2 linked regions of the Stegostoma tigrinum genome follow. The protein of the gene in region 2 interacts with the protein of the main gene of each other region in a pairwise test. Links are inferred from orthologs where the notes say so. Each region holds a gene or a part of one and is shown on either strand. Other genes may lie near its edges. The genes, in order: EMILIN-1-A-like and mtmr9.

Region 1 (8,351 bases), on a different chromosome or scaffold from region 2:
TGGAATACATTCAATATTTTGGCATCAACTGCCTCCTGTGGTGATGAATTCCACAGACTCACCACTCTTTGGGTGAAAAAATGTCTCCTCATCTCCATCCTAAATGGTCTCCTCCAAATCCTCAGACTGTGACCCATGGTTCTGGACACAGCCACCATCGGGAACATCCCCCCCCCCTGCATCTACCCTGTCCAGTCCCGTTAGTCTCCATGAGACCCCGCCCTCCTCCTCATTTGTCTGAACTCTCTCAAAAACAATCCCAACGTAGTCAATATCTCCTCATATGTCAGTCCCACCATCCCCGGAATCAACCCGGTAAACCTTTGCTGCACTCCCTCGAGAGCAAAAGGGAGACCAAAGCTGCACATAATATTCTTGGTGTGGTCTCACCAAGGCCCTGTACAACTGCAACAACACATCCCTGCTCCTGTACTCAAAACCTCTCGCAATGAAGCCCAACATACCATTTGCCTTCTTTACCACCTGCTGCGCCTGCATGTGACTGGTGCACAAGGACACCCAGGTCCTGCTGCGCACTCCCCTCTCCCAATTTACAATCTAGCTCTCCCTGAATTCCATGTGATCTCTCCTTGCTAACCAATTTGCCATAAGGAATCTTGTCAAACACCTTGCTGAAAACGTAAGGACAATGTCCACCACTCTGCCTTCACCAATCCTCTTCGTCACTTCTTCAAAAAACTCAATCAAGTTAGTGAGACATAACTTCCCACACACAAAGCCATGTCAGCTATCTCTAACCAGTCCTTGCCTTTTCGAATACATATAACGCCTATCCCTCAGGATCTCCTCCAACAACTTGCACACCACTGAGGACAGGCTTATCAGTCTACAGTTTCCTGGATTTTCCTTACCAGCTTACTTAAATATATAGTACCCTGCTAGCCAACCTTCAGTCTTCCGGTACCTCACCTGTGGCTATAAATGATACAAGAATCTCAGTAAGGGGACCAGCAATCACTTTGCTCGCTTCCCACAAAGTTCAATGGGAGTAAACGATAGGTGGGGATAGAGCCCAAAGAGAGAAGAACAGTTGAACAGACAAAGGAGTAGATAACAGTCTGTCTGGGAGAATGAATATCTGCTAATGGGGAATATTAGTGGCTAACAATGGGTCATGTATAATCGCAGATCAAAGCCTTGGGTGTTGGGGTGGGGAAAGTATGGGGAAGGTGTTCAGTTCCTAAAGTTGTTGAACTCAATACTGAGTCCTGAGGCTGTAGCGTTCCCAAGTGGAAAACGGAGTGCTGTTCTTCTGGCTTGCACTGATCTTTGTTGAAGTACTTCAGCAAGCACTAGACAAAGAAGTTGGACAGGGAACGCAGTGGTGTGTGGAAATGGCAGGCAACTAGAAGCTCAGGATCTCAGGACAAAGAGGGCACGGTTAAGGTAGGTCAAGGGAGAGTGGGGCAGGGCAAGGCAAAGACGCTTTGTGCATTGAAGTAGACATGAGTAAGTGACTATTCAGAGAACTCTGAGATCCACGAGCTGATGCCTGTCTCTGTGACAATGCAGCATCTTTTCAATGAGAGGTTCCAGGGCAGTATTTACAGAACTATACTACATGTGGATCAAGATTTGCCATGATAGTGGCCAGTGTCTGTGGGCTTGGGGTGTGTGTGAAGCTGGTGGATGGCCAGAGGAGCACTCGTTGGGATGGGGGTTGCCCAGTAGCCACTCAGAATTTCATGTCAGGAATCCTTGATGTCTGGCTGCTATCTGCCATGTGGTAGAAAAGGGAGTTGCATATTAATGAGGTGAAATTTGGTGTTAATGAGACAGATACTGAACAGTAATTCCTGGTAATAGGCATTTCACCACTTGCTAGACAAAATCTTATCGCAATGTCTAGAACCAGTTGGGAGTTGCTCTGACGCTGAAAAAAGACTCATACGACTTCTCCCTACAACCCACATCATTCTGGAAATTCAATATTCCAGCTATCAATATTCCAGCTATTCAATATTCCAGCTTGAACCCCTCTTCCCTCCATCTCCTCAATTCACTCTTTCACCCTTTCCCCTGTCTCTACTCCTTCCTCTCTGTCCTTCTCTCCCTCTCCTCATCACCACACCCCTTTCCCACATCCCTCCTCCCCTGTTCTCTTCCCTCACTCCCTCCCTCTCTCCATTTCTGTTTGACTTTCTTGCTTTCTCCCTCTCCCTCTAGCCATTCCCCAATCCTCCTTCTCCCTCTCTCCTCCTCCTCCCCCACTTTCTGTCCCCTTTCCCCATTTCACCTCTCACTCTCTCTTCCCCCTTACCCACCTCTCTTCCTTTGCCCCCACCCACTCTCCCTTTCTCTTTTCCTCCCACACTTCTCACTCAGTGTCTCTCACTCCCCTCCCTCTCTTCTCCTCCTCGCAATCTCCCTCTCCCTCTCTCTCTCCATCTCTATCCACCTTTGTTCCCCACTCCCTTCAATCTGTTCTCCTGACTCTCTCTCAGCCTCCTCTCCCTCTTCCTCCATCTCACTTCTCTATCTTTCACTCCCCTCTCTCCCCCTTTCATCTCCCCTACTTCTTTCTCCATTTCTCCCTTTCCAATTCCTTTCTCTCCCTACCTCACACTTTCCTCTCCCCTTCTTCCCTCCCTCTCTTCCTTCCATTCTCTCCCTCTTCCCTGTTCCCAACTCACCTCTTCCCTTCCCCTCCCATTCCTCTCTCTCCCTCTCCTCTACCCCCACACACTCACCCTTTCCCCCTCACCCCCACCCCTGCCCTCTCTCTCCTCCTCTCCCTTACCTGTGCCTGCTGGTTGCCCTCACTCCGGGCTCCGCCTGGCTGCTGTGTTCCGCGGAGACTGCCGAGTACAGGGGGTATCTTTGGGGATAACTGACCGCCGCAGCCCGCACCAGGATCGACAGGAGGTAGAGAAACTGACAGAGAGCCCTGGCCATGCTCGCAGGCGCTCACCAAACTCTAGTCTCGACAGGGATTCTGGATCAACCGGGATCAACCAGCGCCTGGATCCCTCCCGGGATTCCAGCCACTTCCTGAGAAACTTCTCCAAACTTGGGAAACGTTCCTTTCGATCCTGTGTCGATTATTTCATTCAATGCTCCCTGAAACTTCTCTCCCTCTCTTTTCCCACACTCTGCTTCGTTCTTTGCCTGGGTTTTTTTCTCTGTCACCGTCTCTTTTTCTCTCTCTCCTGCTGCCTTTCCGAAGATTTTCCTCCCTCCCTCCCTCTCTATTTTTCACTCCCTGCTTTCTCTCTCTCGGGGACTCACATCTGGAGCTAATTAATCTCAGCCTCCGGAATGTAAAATATTGCTTCGCTGCCAAAAACCCTTTTTATTCTCGGAAAACCTGAACTCCTCCCATAAGGCTGTCCCAATCCACGGTAAGTACCCCCTTCTGCCTTAATCCTCTTCCCCCCTCTTTCTGATCTCCTGCCCTCTACCCACAACACTCACCCCGCTCCGATCTCTCTGCTGTCTCTCTCTCTCTTTTTCCTCCTGCAAATGCTCCCCCCAATCCTTCTCTCTTCACCCCCCCCCCCCCCGACCCCTTCCCTCCCCCTCTGCCCCTGTCACATTTCACTCCTCCCCCTTGCTAACACTATCCAGTGCCCCTAACATCAACAGACAAAGCTGTGCTTCAGGATATGCCGATGTTAGTGTATTTAATGTCTGAAGTGAGGAGATTCTGGGAAGTAATTCCAGAGTTTAGGGTTTGAACAGCGCAGATGAAGCATGCTGTCCCCCGGTAAAGATCAGAACCCTACCAGAGATGGGGTAAATTAAAACAAACAGCAGAAGAGGGAAGGGGCACAGAAGCCTCCCAGATTGGTAGGACATGGGGAAGTTGCAGAGCAGGTAAGGCCGCTGAGGGATTTGAAAGCAGAATGAGAATTTTAAAATGGAGGCACCAATGGACCTTGCTGTCTCAGCAGGTTCTGTGACCCTTGTCTGATTTCTATTTAAAGGATGACAAACTCCTTCTGCTGTTCTTATGTTTGTTTTGAAATCTCCACATGCTACATTTACTGGAAGCTGATTAAATCTTAGGGGTGTGATTGAAAAAGCCAAGGTTCGATTTCCAGCATCACACTTCAGCCTTGGCCAGTACTTTCATGATGAAGGGGGCCCCAGGGAAAGTTTATGGAGCTTTAATCTGTGACCAAGAGGAAGAACAGAGTCTGTATTGTAAGCACAGATAGCTAAGCCAGACAGACAGACATCCTGAGAAGCACATCAGGATTGACCGAAATGGAACTCCCATTGAGGAACAAAGCCTTCAGCTCAATGCTGGCACAGTTACACCTTCATTGTCTCTGTTACACTACTGTTCCACAATTCCTTTCGCAAGTCAATTTCTCCTGCCATTTATTTTCTTTTAGTTGTTAATTTATTGAGCATTTATTGTTGATCCCTAACTGCCAGTTGAATTGATTGGTTTGCTTGGGCCATTTCAGAGAACACAGTGTGGAAACAGACTCTCCCTCTACTTTCTGGAGAGACCACTCTCTTCGGGACTCCCTTGTCTGCTCCACACTCCCCTCCAACCCCACCACACCCGGCACTTTCCCCTGCAACCGCAGGAAGTGCTACACTTGCCCCCACACCTCCTCCCTCACCCCCATCCCAGGCCCAAAGAAGACTTTCCACATCAAGCAGATGTTCACCTGCACATCTGCCAATGTGGTGTACTGCATCCGCTGCTAGCAAAGTGTGGAGCGGATGAACACAGCAGGCCAAGCAGCATCTTAGCAGCACAAAAGCTGGCATTTTGGGCTAAGGATCTAGGCCTGAAACGACAGCTATTGTGCTCCTAAGATGCTGCTTGGCCTGCTGTGTTCATCCAGCTCCACACTTTGTTATCTCAGATTCTCCAGCATCTACAGTTCCCATTATCTCTCCACTGCATCCGCTGTACCCGTTGTGGCCTCCTCTACATCGGGGAAACCAAGCGGAGGCTTGGGGATCGCTTTGCAGAACACTTACGCTCAGTTCACAATAAACAACTGCACCTCCCAATCGTGAACCATTTCAAATTCCCCTCCCATTCCTTAGATGAGATGTCCATCCTGGGTCTCTTGCAGTGCCACAACGATGCCACCCGAAGGTTGCAGGAACAGCACCTCATATTCCGCTCGGAAACCTTGTAGCCCAATGGTATCAATGTGGACTTCACAAGCTTCAAAACCTCCCCTCCCTCCACTGCATCCCAAAACCAGCCCAGCTTGTCCCTGCCTCCCTAACCCGTTCTTCCTCACACCTATCCCCTCCTCCCACCTCAAGCCACACCTCCATTTCCTACCTACTAACCTCATCCCATCTCCTTGGCCTGTCCGTCCTCCCCGGACTGACCTATCCCCTCCCTACCTCCCCACCTATACTCACCTCTACAGGCTCCATCCCCGTCCCTTTAACTTGTCTGTCTCCTCTCCACCTATCTTCTCCTCTATCCATCTTCAATCTGCTTCCCCCTCTCTCCCTATTCATTTCAGAACCCTCTCCCCCTCCCCCTTTTCCGATGAAGGGTCCAGGCCCGAAACATCAGCTTTTGTGCTCCTAAGATGCTGCTTGGCCTGTTGTGTTCATCCAGCTCCACACTTTGTTATTTCAGTCCAACTCGTCCACATCGACCAAGTTTCCTAAACTGAACTAGTCCAACTTGTCTGCATTTGGTTCGTATCCCTCTACAGCTTTCGTAAAAATGTACCTGTCCAAATGTCTTTTCTAGATTGTATTGCGCCCACCTCTACCATTTCCTCTAACATTAAGGGTCTTCCACTCTGTTGTGGGTCTGGAGTCACATGTAGGCCAGACAGGGTGGCAGGATAGCAAATTTCCTTTCTTAAAGGACATTAGTGAACCAGATGGGTTTCTAAGAACAAAAAACAGCGGTGACATGATTTGTATGAGGCTACTTTTTATTGAATTCCCCAAAGCATTAGCCTGGGGTTCTGCATTACAAGCACAGTGACATTGCCACAATGCAGCTGCATCCCTACAGCTTCTTTTCCCCCCGCATTTAGAGGCCATCTCCCAATTCTTGCTTGATGCCCCCTATCCACTTCCACCCAGCACCTCAGCTGTTCATGGACATGTTAATGATTTAGATGAGGGAACTAGATGTAATATCTCAAAATTTGCAGATGCTACAAAGCTGGATGGTAGGATGAACTGTGAGGAGGATGCATAGATGTTGCAATGTGATTGGGACAAGCTGAATGAGTAGGCAAATGCAAGGCAGATATAGTTTAATGTAGATGAATGTGAGGTTATCCAATTTGATAGGACCGGAAGGCAGATTATTATGTGAATGACAGTAAGTGTGAGACAGGGAGAATGATCAGTGAGATCTGGAATAGAAATTATGGGAACTGCAGATGCTGGAGAACCCGAGATAACAAGGTGTAGAGCTGGATGAACACAGCAGGCCAAGCAGCATCAGCAGAGCAGGAAGGCTGATGTTTCGAGCCCAGGCCCTTCATCAAAAACAGATCTGGATGTCCTTGAGCACCAGTTGCTGAAAGTAAGTGCACAGGTGCAAAAGGCAGTGAAGAGGCCTTCATTGCACAAGGACTTGAATACAGAAACAAGTTTATCCTTGGAAACCCCAATACACTAAAGATATTCACCCTGTTTCTGATCCACACATAAACCAGATCTTCCAATGGCTATATTTGTTAGTCTTATGTGGATTCCATTCTCTACTCCCACTATCCATGTCATTTCACTCCACACAGGAATATAAAACTATAAAAAGAGGGAGCAGGTGTAGGCCATTTGGCCCACCCACTCTGCTGTATAATTCAATAAAGAGCATGGCTGATTTGGTTGTGGCATTCAGGAAATAATAAAAGGTACTTTTGCCCTTCCAATAATTATTGACCAAAAACATGTTTAACTCAGTTTTGAATATATTCAACAGTGTAGTCTCTGCTGCTGTCCGGGCAAGAGAATTCCAGATGTTAACAATTATCCAGAAGAAGTTCTTCATCATCTCTGTCTTAAATGGGAGTCTTTTCATCTCTAAACTGTACTGCCTCGTTCTAGATACCCCCACGAGATGAAAGATTTCCGTAGTCACCATCTCAATCCCATCAAGGCCCTTCAGAATCTAATATATTTCAATAAAATCACCCTTCATTCTTCCGAACTCTAATGAGCATTGTCCCAAAACAGCCAAATGAAGAGTATCCGAACTGCTCCCAATGCAAGAACATCCCTTCTGAAATAAGGAGACTCTAACTGTATAATTATACACCAGGGTCAGTCTCAGCAATACCCTGTATGGTTGTAGTAAGACTTCCTTTCTTTAACACTCCATTCCTCCCCACAAAAAACAGCTACATTCCATTTGTTTTGCTGTATCAGCAAGCTAATTGCTTTTTTGCAATTCATGTATAAGGACACCCTGATCCATCTTTAATGCAGTATTCTGCAGACTCTTATAAAAGTCATATTCTGCTTTTCTGTTGTATCTGCCAATCTTCACATTTTCCTACAATGTATTTGAAGTGGAAAACTTTTGTCCACTCTTACATCTATTTGCATCCCTGTGCAGACTCTGCATTGTGCATTTAATGATGTGGACATCACTAACATTTGTTACCCATTCTAGCTGTGAGAAAGTGGAGGTGAGCTGTGACAAAACAACTTGTCTCCTTATCATTAATACAGATTCTAAATACAGTAGTTAACAAGTCAGCACTGATCCCTGGGGCACTCCACTAATTAGTCTGCCAACTGAAAACTCCACTTATCTCAAAATAATAAAACGTGAGGCTGGATGAACACAGCAGGCCAAGCAGCATCTCAGGAGCACAAAAAGCTGACGTTTCGGGCCTGGAACCTTCATCAGAGAGGGGGATGGGGAGAGGGAACTGGAATAAATAGGGAGAGAGGGGGAGGCGGACTGAAGATGGAGAGTAAAGAAGATAGGTGGAGAGAGTATAGGTGGGGAGGTAGGGAGGGGATAGGTCAGTCCAGGGAAGACGGACAGGTCAAGGAGGTGGGATGAGGTTAGTAGGTAGATGGGGGTGCGGCTTGGGGTGGGAGGAAGGGATGGGTGAGAGGAAGAACCGGTTAGGGAGGCAGAGACAGGTTGGACTGGTTTTGGGATGCAGTGGGTGGGGGGGAAGAGCTGGGCTGGTTGTGTGGTGCAGTGGGGGGAGGGGACGAACTGGGCTGGTTTAGGGATGTAGTAGGGGAAGGGGAGATTTTGAAACTGGTGAAGTCCACATTGATACCATTAGGCTGCAGGGTTCCCAGGCGGAATATGAGTTGCTGTTCCTGCAACCTTCGGGTGGCATCATTGTGGCAGTGCAGGAGGCCCATGATGGACATGTCATCCAGAGAATGGGAGGGGGAGTGGAAAT
Region 2 (8,860 bases):
CATCATTCGTTATTCCTCCATCATTGCTGGTTCAATGCACAGCAACTTCCTGTTTAATCACCATGGGAGTTCCTTCAGATCATACGGGCAACAATGATTCAGTATGCAGCCCACTGTTAAATCTCAAATGATATTAAGATTAGATAATGCATGATGGCCTTATAATGGCCAACAGGAAACAAAAACAAATCGAAAGGAATAGGATCATTCAATGAGCTGTATGTTAAGACTGGATAAATACTTCCAACACTACACATTAAAATCTTCACTGAAACAGTCAAATAACATTTGAGAAGTTGTTATTGTTTCACTGAATTTGGACCTAGGTTTAAAAGTCAAAATTATCTCAACAGGCTACAATAATTTGACAAAAAGAAGTTTCAGCATCTCAACACACTGTCTTGTGTTCAAAACAAACCTGGACTATCCGTAATACACTCATTATTACTCAGAAAGCCAAAGCACAGCTGAAAAAAAAATCAAAGCTACAGCAAGAGTGTACTTTTGAAGTTAGAACTAAAGCATATCATAACCAAAAAAGGAATATTCATTCTGCCTGATCCTCAGCACTAAATCAAATCTTTTGAGAAGCTCTATTCTAATAATAATTTATCATAACTTGGAAAACAACTGATCAATAAAAAAATCTCACCTCAATAGAGCTTGCGATATTTAAACATTCTTCCATGCCAGGAATATCCAAGTGAATGATACGCAGATCCTTACATTTAATTGTAATTGAACCCAATGTTCCCACAAACCTGGAAATAAAGAAATACAATCTACTTAATAACAGCGGTATTTATACGTCATTTTTTTAAAAATTCTGCGCTTTCGAGAAATGGCTTTATTAGCATTAACACTCCCTATTAGCCTGGAATTCATGACAGTGTCAGTCAGATTTATGTAGGGCTATTGTTCGTTGTACAATGTGGTGATCAAAAGGAGTTTGCAGTGTACAGTGGGATGGGTCCTAGTGCTGATTTCTCTTCAAGTATGGAATATTTCAGTCAGACGGTGCTACATACTGGAGACACAGAATTTAAGTTATTTTCATTGTGCAGTCCTGCAAAATGATGAATTAGGTTAAGAGTTAGATTTTCTTTTGGCAATAACTGAAAATAAAGAGAATTATGATTTATTTTTTCTTTCTCCAATGATTAGAGCATTGCCCAGAGCTGCTTTCATAATGGCATGGTTTTAAGTAAGACTCAGAAAGACTGGGATTTATGCATCTTAATTTGTTCTTTCACTGGGTAGATAAATTTACTGATCCAAGAAACAGAAACCTATGGGTCTGCCACCAAAGATGACTTGCTCAGCACCTGGGGAATAGATCTCAAGGCAACACTTATTGAAACGTACTTTTATAAATTTTAAAGTTAGTCATGCATAATGTGAAGGATTCTTCTAATTATTTTAAATTGCTGAGCCCTCCTTTGTGGACTACGTTGATACGTTATTGCTGTGTAACACTGACTGTTTAAAAAACAAAATAATCTAAGTGATATCTTATCACACAGCTCACGTGGTAAGTTTAAAAAAGTATAAGGTGCCTTGTCGCGAAACCATCTCCACTGAATACAACTCGTATTTGTCTTTTCTTTGAGTCTTCCATGCTATTACCCAATTTCTGCCTCAATGATCCTTGTAAACTCTTGGTCACTTGTACTGTCCCCTATACCTTTATACAATTATGCTTTCAAACTAATCTACGTGAATTGAAAGGAACGACTATGGATGCCAGAAATGAACCAAAAACAGAAATTACTGGAGAAACTCAGGTCTGGCAGCATCTGTGGAGAGAATGCAGAGTCAAGTTAAGTCCAGTGACCCTCTGTCAGTCAAGTGACAGTTTAACTTAACTTTAGGAAGTAAGGACTAAACCCGTATGGAAATAAAGTCAACTGAAATACAGCCCCCACTGCTGCTAGCAATCATGTAGATAAGTGGTGTTCACATCAACATGTGTCAGATGGCAAAAATCAAAAAGTAGATTAACTTATATTTTTATAAAACAGGATTTTCCCATTTCTACTTAACAAATTGCACCCAGAATCCTAACACTCTTAATCCCAATCGAGCGGTTTCAATCAGCTATTTACACCTTCTTACAGTGCTTTTACATTGGCAAGTATTTATTGAACAGCCTGAAGTTGACAATGGATTTAATTAACCTTGCAGTTGCAACTATAGCAATATTGTTTGATACAGACGGTCAATGATGATTGATAGACATAAAGGATGTGAATAAAGACACCTGCAGGCAAAGGCACACAAATCTCAACAAGTAATAATACGAGTACTGTAGTAAAATGGACTTTGAAAGAGACCCACACTTCACTGACAGATTGCAAACATTTGGCACAGTGGCTATCACGGTGGACCGAGGTTGGCTTCCACCGTTGGACGACTATTTGCGTGGAAGTGCGCATATTCTCCCCGTGTCTGCGCGGCTTCCTCCAAGTTTACCGGTTTCTTCCCTCAGTCCAAAGAAATGCAAGCTACGTAGATTGGCCATTCTAAATTGCCCACGGTGTCCAGGGACGTGCAGGCTATGTGGAGTAGGCAAGGGATAGGGGTTCTGGAAGAGTAATCTTCGGAGGTTCGATGCGGACTTGAGACGAATAGCCTGCTTCCATACTGTAGGGATTCTATGACTCCACCTCTTAAACATTTGTTTCATACAAAAGACAAATTCGTGCAAGTACAGTGTGTGAGCCGCAATTACAACATACAGTGACAGATTTCTGGTCAATACTCGAGAGACAGGACATTACAGTTGGAGAAAGAGACAACATCTCCACGGGAGCAGATAAAGCGAAACTGAATTTTAGTGATTAGTGTAACATAGTTGCGAAACCTGTAGGAAAACAAAAAACAAGGAAATGGGGCGATCTTCTAGACTGCTCCAAATAACTGGACATGGGTATGGTTGACTATAAGTCAATAAAACTGGAGCTTGGAAAGCCACAGCAGGTCTGACAGCATCCAATGAGCAGGGAAGTCAATCTGTTGAGCCGAAACCCTTCGTCGGAAATTTATAGTTTATTTCTAAGCTGTTAGAGTTTACGAGCTCGTGGCCAAATCTGTTGACACATAAACCGTACAAGTGAGGTTAGGTCCGGCTACTTGCCTGCTACACAGTCGCCGCTGCTCGAAGCCCGACTCCAGCCTCACTCACCTTTTCTCGATGGCGTCGATGTTGTTGTGCAGTAGCCAGAGCTCCTCACTGTTATCCTGGCGGGAGGAGAGGATCAAGTGGTGCCCGGTCAGACACAGGGTGCCCTCCACCCGCGGCAGGAAAGGCCGGTGAAGGACCACATTGTCCACCCGCGGAGTCTTAATCAGCTCCGCGAACTCCATCGTCCACCCTCCCGGAACCCGCAGTGTCCGGACCACAATAACCTGCGCACCAACCACTCGACGGAAGACAGGTCCCGCAGTGCATTGCCCCCGAAAGACAACTTCCCGAGTCGTGGTTCCGACCAGAATTCACTGATTGTTGACGTTTCCGTCTCAGAAAGGTTAGCAATGGATTTCGTTCGTTTGGCCAGAAGGCCTGAGATTGCTTCACGCCGAATTACAGTCAACATGCCAAACGCCTTCTAGATCACTCTCTCCTCCAACCTGACAGCCACCACGGCTCAAATAGATAAAAAAAACAAAGTTAGAGAAAATCGGCAGGTCCGGAAGCAGCTGAGAGGAATAGAATTCAGGTTTCCAGTCCAATGTGAATTGTTCAGAAGTGAAGGGAGAATCAGAAAAGTGATGGATTTTTAGCTGCAGAACAAGGTGAAAGGAACAAGTAGAAAAATAAAGGTTAGAAGGCAAGGGATTAGTCGTGAAAGAGCGAAAGGCAAAGAGTTCACAGCAAAATGTAACTCAGCTCTGCTGAACATCAAAACCAAGAAGACCGTATGCTTGGGGTAGATGCTTAGGAAAGTATCAGAGAATAGAGTTCACTGTTTGAAGTTCCTGAAATTCCTCAAGGCTATCAGGAAATGATGGGAGGTGCTCTTAACTGAAGATGGCATGAGAAGGCCATTCTGCCAGATCAAGACAGGTGGTCAGAAGTAGTAGATGAGGTCAGCAACCTAGGTGACCTGGGTCCAAGAGTTGCAGAGAGGTGGTGACATCAGGCTCCTCGGTCCCTTTGAGGAGAAAATTCTGATCTGCGTGGAGAAGAGCATAATTCTTCACTTGGTAATGGAGAGTCCACAATAGCCAATCCACCAAGTAAGCTTCATTGTGCTCTTCTGCACTTTACTAATCCCCCATTATAACCAACACATTTTATTCCTCTTTGTCAACTCTCTTCTGCACTTCTATTATGTAAGCGTGAGCAAACCCGGCAAACCTGCACAAAGAGACCAGTGCTGGAGATTGTCAGCTGCACTTCCACCTCTGCTGAGGAAGCTACTGAATTCCTAGAGGATGCATTGACAGAGGCTTTCACCTTCACTCTCTACCAGCTCAGAGACTTTCACTTTGGTGTTCTACACTTTCTAAATTAGACTTGGGAACATGATCTGTTGAGCACATCACTGACTGTAGCTGATTGACAAAGGAACACCTTTGTCTGTAATACTCAGAGGGCAACCAGAGACCAGGCAACTGTTGGACTGCAGGCAGAACAGGAGCTTGTTCCCAACCATTATTGACTTTTCCAAAAAGCAGACAGACACAGGAACATCAGGTAGGCGTGTCAGAAGCACTTTGTAATCTAATTGAAAGATGGAGGAGTCCACCAATTTAATCAGTACAGTGCTAGCACTTGGCTGTGTGCATCCAGCTGTCAGACAAGTTGACATGGTCAGATAAAGCACCATGGACACCCAACTCGAGCACTTTAAGTGTTTGAAAAATATGGGTATAGATTACATTCCGTTGTTATATCCATTGTTAGTCAGCATCATTTGCAAGGGGGATATGGAAAGTCATTCTCATTCCAAGTGGCTCTTCCTGTCAGGGAGACAGCTTGGTAATGGCAGATACCAAAGAGGTAGAAAGAGCCACACGTAACCCCTAGAAATTTCTCCTCAGGACACCTGAGAGGTGTCCAGCCTCTCCAGTTTGCCCACCTCTGATTCCAGTCTGCAGCTCTTCAACTTGAGGATGATTAGCATGCATCTTGACAGGATACTGTCAGCAGACCTGGGTCATCTTGGCCCAAAGGCACCAGGGAACAAGTGCCCGAATATTCAGAGCATCCACATACTATGCTTCCTCTGACCCCATTGCAGAGATCAGGACTGCATTTAAAAGAGTATGAAGAGGGGAAGAAAACAAATTACTGAGAACATAGTGGAGACACGGATGAAATATCATTATAACTAATCTTCCACTTTTGTAAATGCATATTAGTTTGCACTGCTAAAATATCTATATAATTTTCGTTGTCAGACCTGGTTATGTATCATCCGTGTGAAAGATCGGCAGCATCTTCTCCAATACCCCAAGAAAGAAAGGAGTTCCAATTGCCAAGTATTGCTCTTCACTCACAAGCAACTGACTGCTTGAAAGCGGATAGCCTCAGCAATCCTTAAAATGCGGCATTAAGGACGGCAGCCAAGGTGTTCCACTTGGACAATGTTAAGGCCAAATGCAATGTGCAAGAAATGCGCTTAGGTCTGCTGTGGACACACAATTCCATACTGAAAACCACCTTCTGGTGGCGAGTGTGGAATCAGTGGTGATTTTACACATTTCTATAGGGAAAGTTAGTGTGACGCATCAACTTAGCAAGGGAGGCCACTGACATTCAAGTCTGGCAGAGATGACGAAAATGACGGCAATGCCTGCAGATGTGGGATCTCTTTATATTCCCTTGTCTCCTTGGTGGATCTTCACCTGCTGTTTCTCCCTCTGGAACATGTGCTTTTAGCACTGGAACTTTCTTATCCTCCTGATGTAGTTGTCTCCTTTTATATTGTTTTTGGTTAGTGCATTGAGTATAGGATTTGGGACATTGTGTTGTGACTGTACAGAACATTGGTGAGGCCACTTTTAGAATACTGTGTTCAGTTCTGGTCTCCCTGCTTTAGGAAAGCTGTTGTTAAACTTGAAAGAGTTCAGAAAAGATTTACAAGGATGTTGCTGAAATTTGAGCATTTGAAATACAGGAAGAGGCTGAACAGGTTGGGCTTTTTTTCCTTTGAATGTTGAAGGGAAACATGTTCTCATTCCAAGTAGCTCTTCCTCTCAGGGAGGCAGGTTGGTGCCAGGAAGTACCAGGAGACAGAAGGAACCACACACACACACACACACAGACACACACACACACAGACACACACACACACAGACACACACACACACACACACACACACACACACACACACACACACACACACACACACACATACATACATACAGTCCCCAGAAGCTTCTTCTCAGGACACCTTAGAGGTGTCTGACCTCTCCAGTTTTCCCATCACTGATCCCAGTCTGCAGCTGTTTGACTTGCATGCATCTTGGCAGGATACTGTCAGCAGACCTGGGTCAGCTGGGCCCGAAGGCACCAAGCAACAATTGCCCAATCTTTCGAGCAACCAAATAACATGTCGAGCATTTAGAGGGTTAATAGCCAAGGTCATTTTCCCAAGGTAGTGGAGTCCAAATCAGGGGGCAAAGGTTTCAGGTGAGAGGGGAAAGATTTAAAAGGATTGGGGTGGGGGGGGACATTTTTACACTGATGGTGGTGTGTGTAATGGAATGAGCTGCTAGGAAAGGTGGTGGAAGTGATTACAATTACGGCATTTAAAAGGCATTTGGATTGGTGCGTGAATAGGAAGGGTGTAGACGTCTATGGGCTAAGACCTGGCAAATGCGACAAGATCATTTTAGAATACCTGGTTGGCACGGATAAGTTAGAATAAAGAGTCTGTTTCAATGCTGACTCTATGGCTCCAGATACTGCTTATTCATGTGAGATCAGAGAGCAGATAACCTGTCAGGAACCAAGGAAGATACCACAGTTTTATTGAAGGAACTCGAGTTTTCACATCTGCTACACAGTAACATGTTCAACTCCTTGACTGGTCAGCCCTCTCCACCATCACCATCTCACCTCAAACCCATACCCTCTACTTTTGGAGATAATGGGAACTGCAGATGCTGGAGAATTCCAAGACAATAAAATGTGAGGCTGGATGAACACAGCAGGCCAAGCAGCATCCCAGGAGCACAAAAGCTGACATTTCGGGCCTAGACCCTTCATCAGAGAGGGGGATGGGGAGAGGGAACTGGAATAAATAGGGAGAGAAGGGGAGGCGGACCGAAGATGGAGAGTAAAGAAGATAGGTGGAGAGAGTATAGGTGGGGAGGTAGGGAGGGGATAGGTCAGTCCAGGGAAGACGGACAGGTCAAGGAGGTGGGATGAGGTTAGTAGGTAGATGGGGGTGCGGCTTGGGGTAGGAGGAAGGGATGGGTGAGAGGAAGAACTGGTTAGGGAGGCAGAGACAGGTTGGACTGGTTTTGGGATGCAGTGGGTGGGGGGGAAGAGCTGGGCTGGTTGTGTGGTGCAGTGGGGGGAGGGGACGAACTGGGCTGGTTTAGGGATGCAGTAGGGGAAGGGGAGATTTTGAAACTGGTGAAGTCCACATTGATACCATTAGGCTGCAGGGTTCCCAGGCGGAATATGAGTTGCTGTTCCTGCAACCTTCGGGTGGCATCATTGTGGCAGTGCAGGAGGCCCATGATGGACATGTCATCTAGAGAATGGGAGGGGGAGTGGAAATGGTTTGCGACTGGGAGGTGCAGTTGTTTGTTGCGAACTGAGCGGAGGTGTTCTGCAAAGCGGTCTCCAAGCCTCCGCTTGGTTTCCCCAATGTAGAGGAAGCCGCACCGGGTACAGTGGATGCAGTATACCACATTGGCAGATGTGCAGGTGAACCTCTGCTTAATGTGGAATGTCATCTTGGGGCCTGGGATTGGGGTGAGGGAGGAGGTGTGGGGGCAAGTGTTGCATTTCCTGCGGTTGCAGGGGAAGGTGCCGGGTGTGGTGAGGTTGGAGGGCAGTGTGGAACGAACAAGGGAGTCACGGAGAGAGCGGTCTCTCCGGAAAGCAGACAGGGGTGGGGATGGAAAAATGTCTTGGGTGGTGGGGTCGGATTGTAAATGGCGAAAGTGTCGGAGGATGGTGCGTTGTATCCGGAGGTTGGTAGGGTGGTGTGTGAGAACGAGGGGGATCCTCTTAGGGCAGTTGTGGCGGGGGCGGGGTGTGAGGGATGTGTTGCGGGAAATACAGGAGACGTGATCAAGGGCGTTCTCGATCACTGTGGGGGGAAAGTTGCGGTCCTTGAAGAACTTGGACATCTGGGATGTGCGGGAGTGGAATGTCTTATCGTGGGAGCAGATGCGGCAGAGGCGGAGGAAGTGGGAATAGGGGATGGAATTTTTACAGGAGGGTGGGTGGGAGGAGGTGTATTCTAGGTAGCTGTGGGAGTCGGTGGGCTTGAAATGGACCTCAGTTACAAGCTGGTTGCCTGAGATGGAGACTGAGAGGTCCAGGAAGGTGAGGGATGTGCTGGAGATGGCCCAGGTGAACTGAAGGTTGGGGTGGAAGGTGTTGGTGAAGTGGATGAACTGTTCGAGCTCCTCTGGGGAGCAAGAGGTGGCGCCGATACAGTCATCAATGTACCGGAGGAAGAGGTGGGGTTTGGGGCCTGTGTAGGTGCGGAAGAGGGACTGTTCCACGTAACCTACAAAGAGGCAGGCATAGCTGGGGCCCATGCGGGTGCCCATGGCCACCCCCTTAGTCTGTAGGAAGTGGGAGGAGTCAAAAGAGAAGTTGTTGAGGGTGAGGACGAGTTCAGCTAGGCGGATGAGAGTGTCGGTGGAGGGGGACTGGTCGGGCCT

Evidence for each region.
Region 1: the proteins of mtmr9 (region 2) and EMILIN-1-A-like interact in binary tests that used the Homo sapiens proteins (3 or more experiments, as listed by UniProt). The link is inferred for Stegostoma tigrinum from reciprocal best matches to the Homo sapiens genes MTMR9 and EMILIN1.

What each region holds. Positions count from the first base shown.
Region 1 is NC_081362.1:99,071,269-99,079,619, reverse strand, and holds the start of EMILIN-1-A-like, read right to left. Parts: upstream 3,463-8,351; 5' UTR 2,917-3,462; coding exon 2,762-2,916; intron 1-2,761. UniProt on the Homo sapiens protein: Involved in elastic and collagen fibers formation. It is required for EFEMP2 deposition into the extracellular matrix, and collagen network assembly and cross-linking via protein-lysine 6-oxidase/LOX activity.
Region 2 is NC_081357.1:78,593,597-78,602,456, reverse strand, and holds the start of mtmr9 (myotubularin-related protein 9), read right to left. Parts: upstream 3,440-8,860; 5' UTR 3,367-3,439; coding exon 3,185-3,366; intron 762-3,184; coding exon 653-761; intron 1-652. UniProt on the Homo sapiens protein: Acts as an adapter for myotubularin-related phosphatases. Increases lipid phosphatase MTMR6 catalytic activity, specifically towards phosphatidylinositol 3,5-bisphosphate and MTMR6 binding affinity for phosphorylated phosphatidylinositols.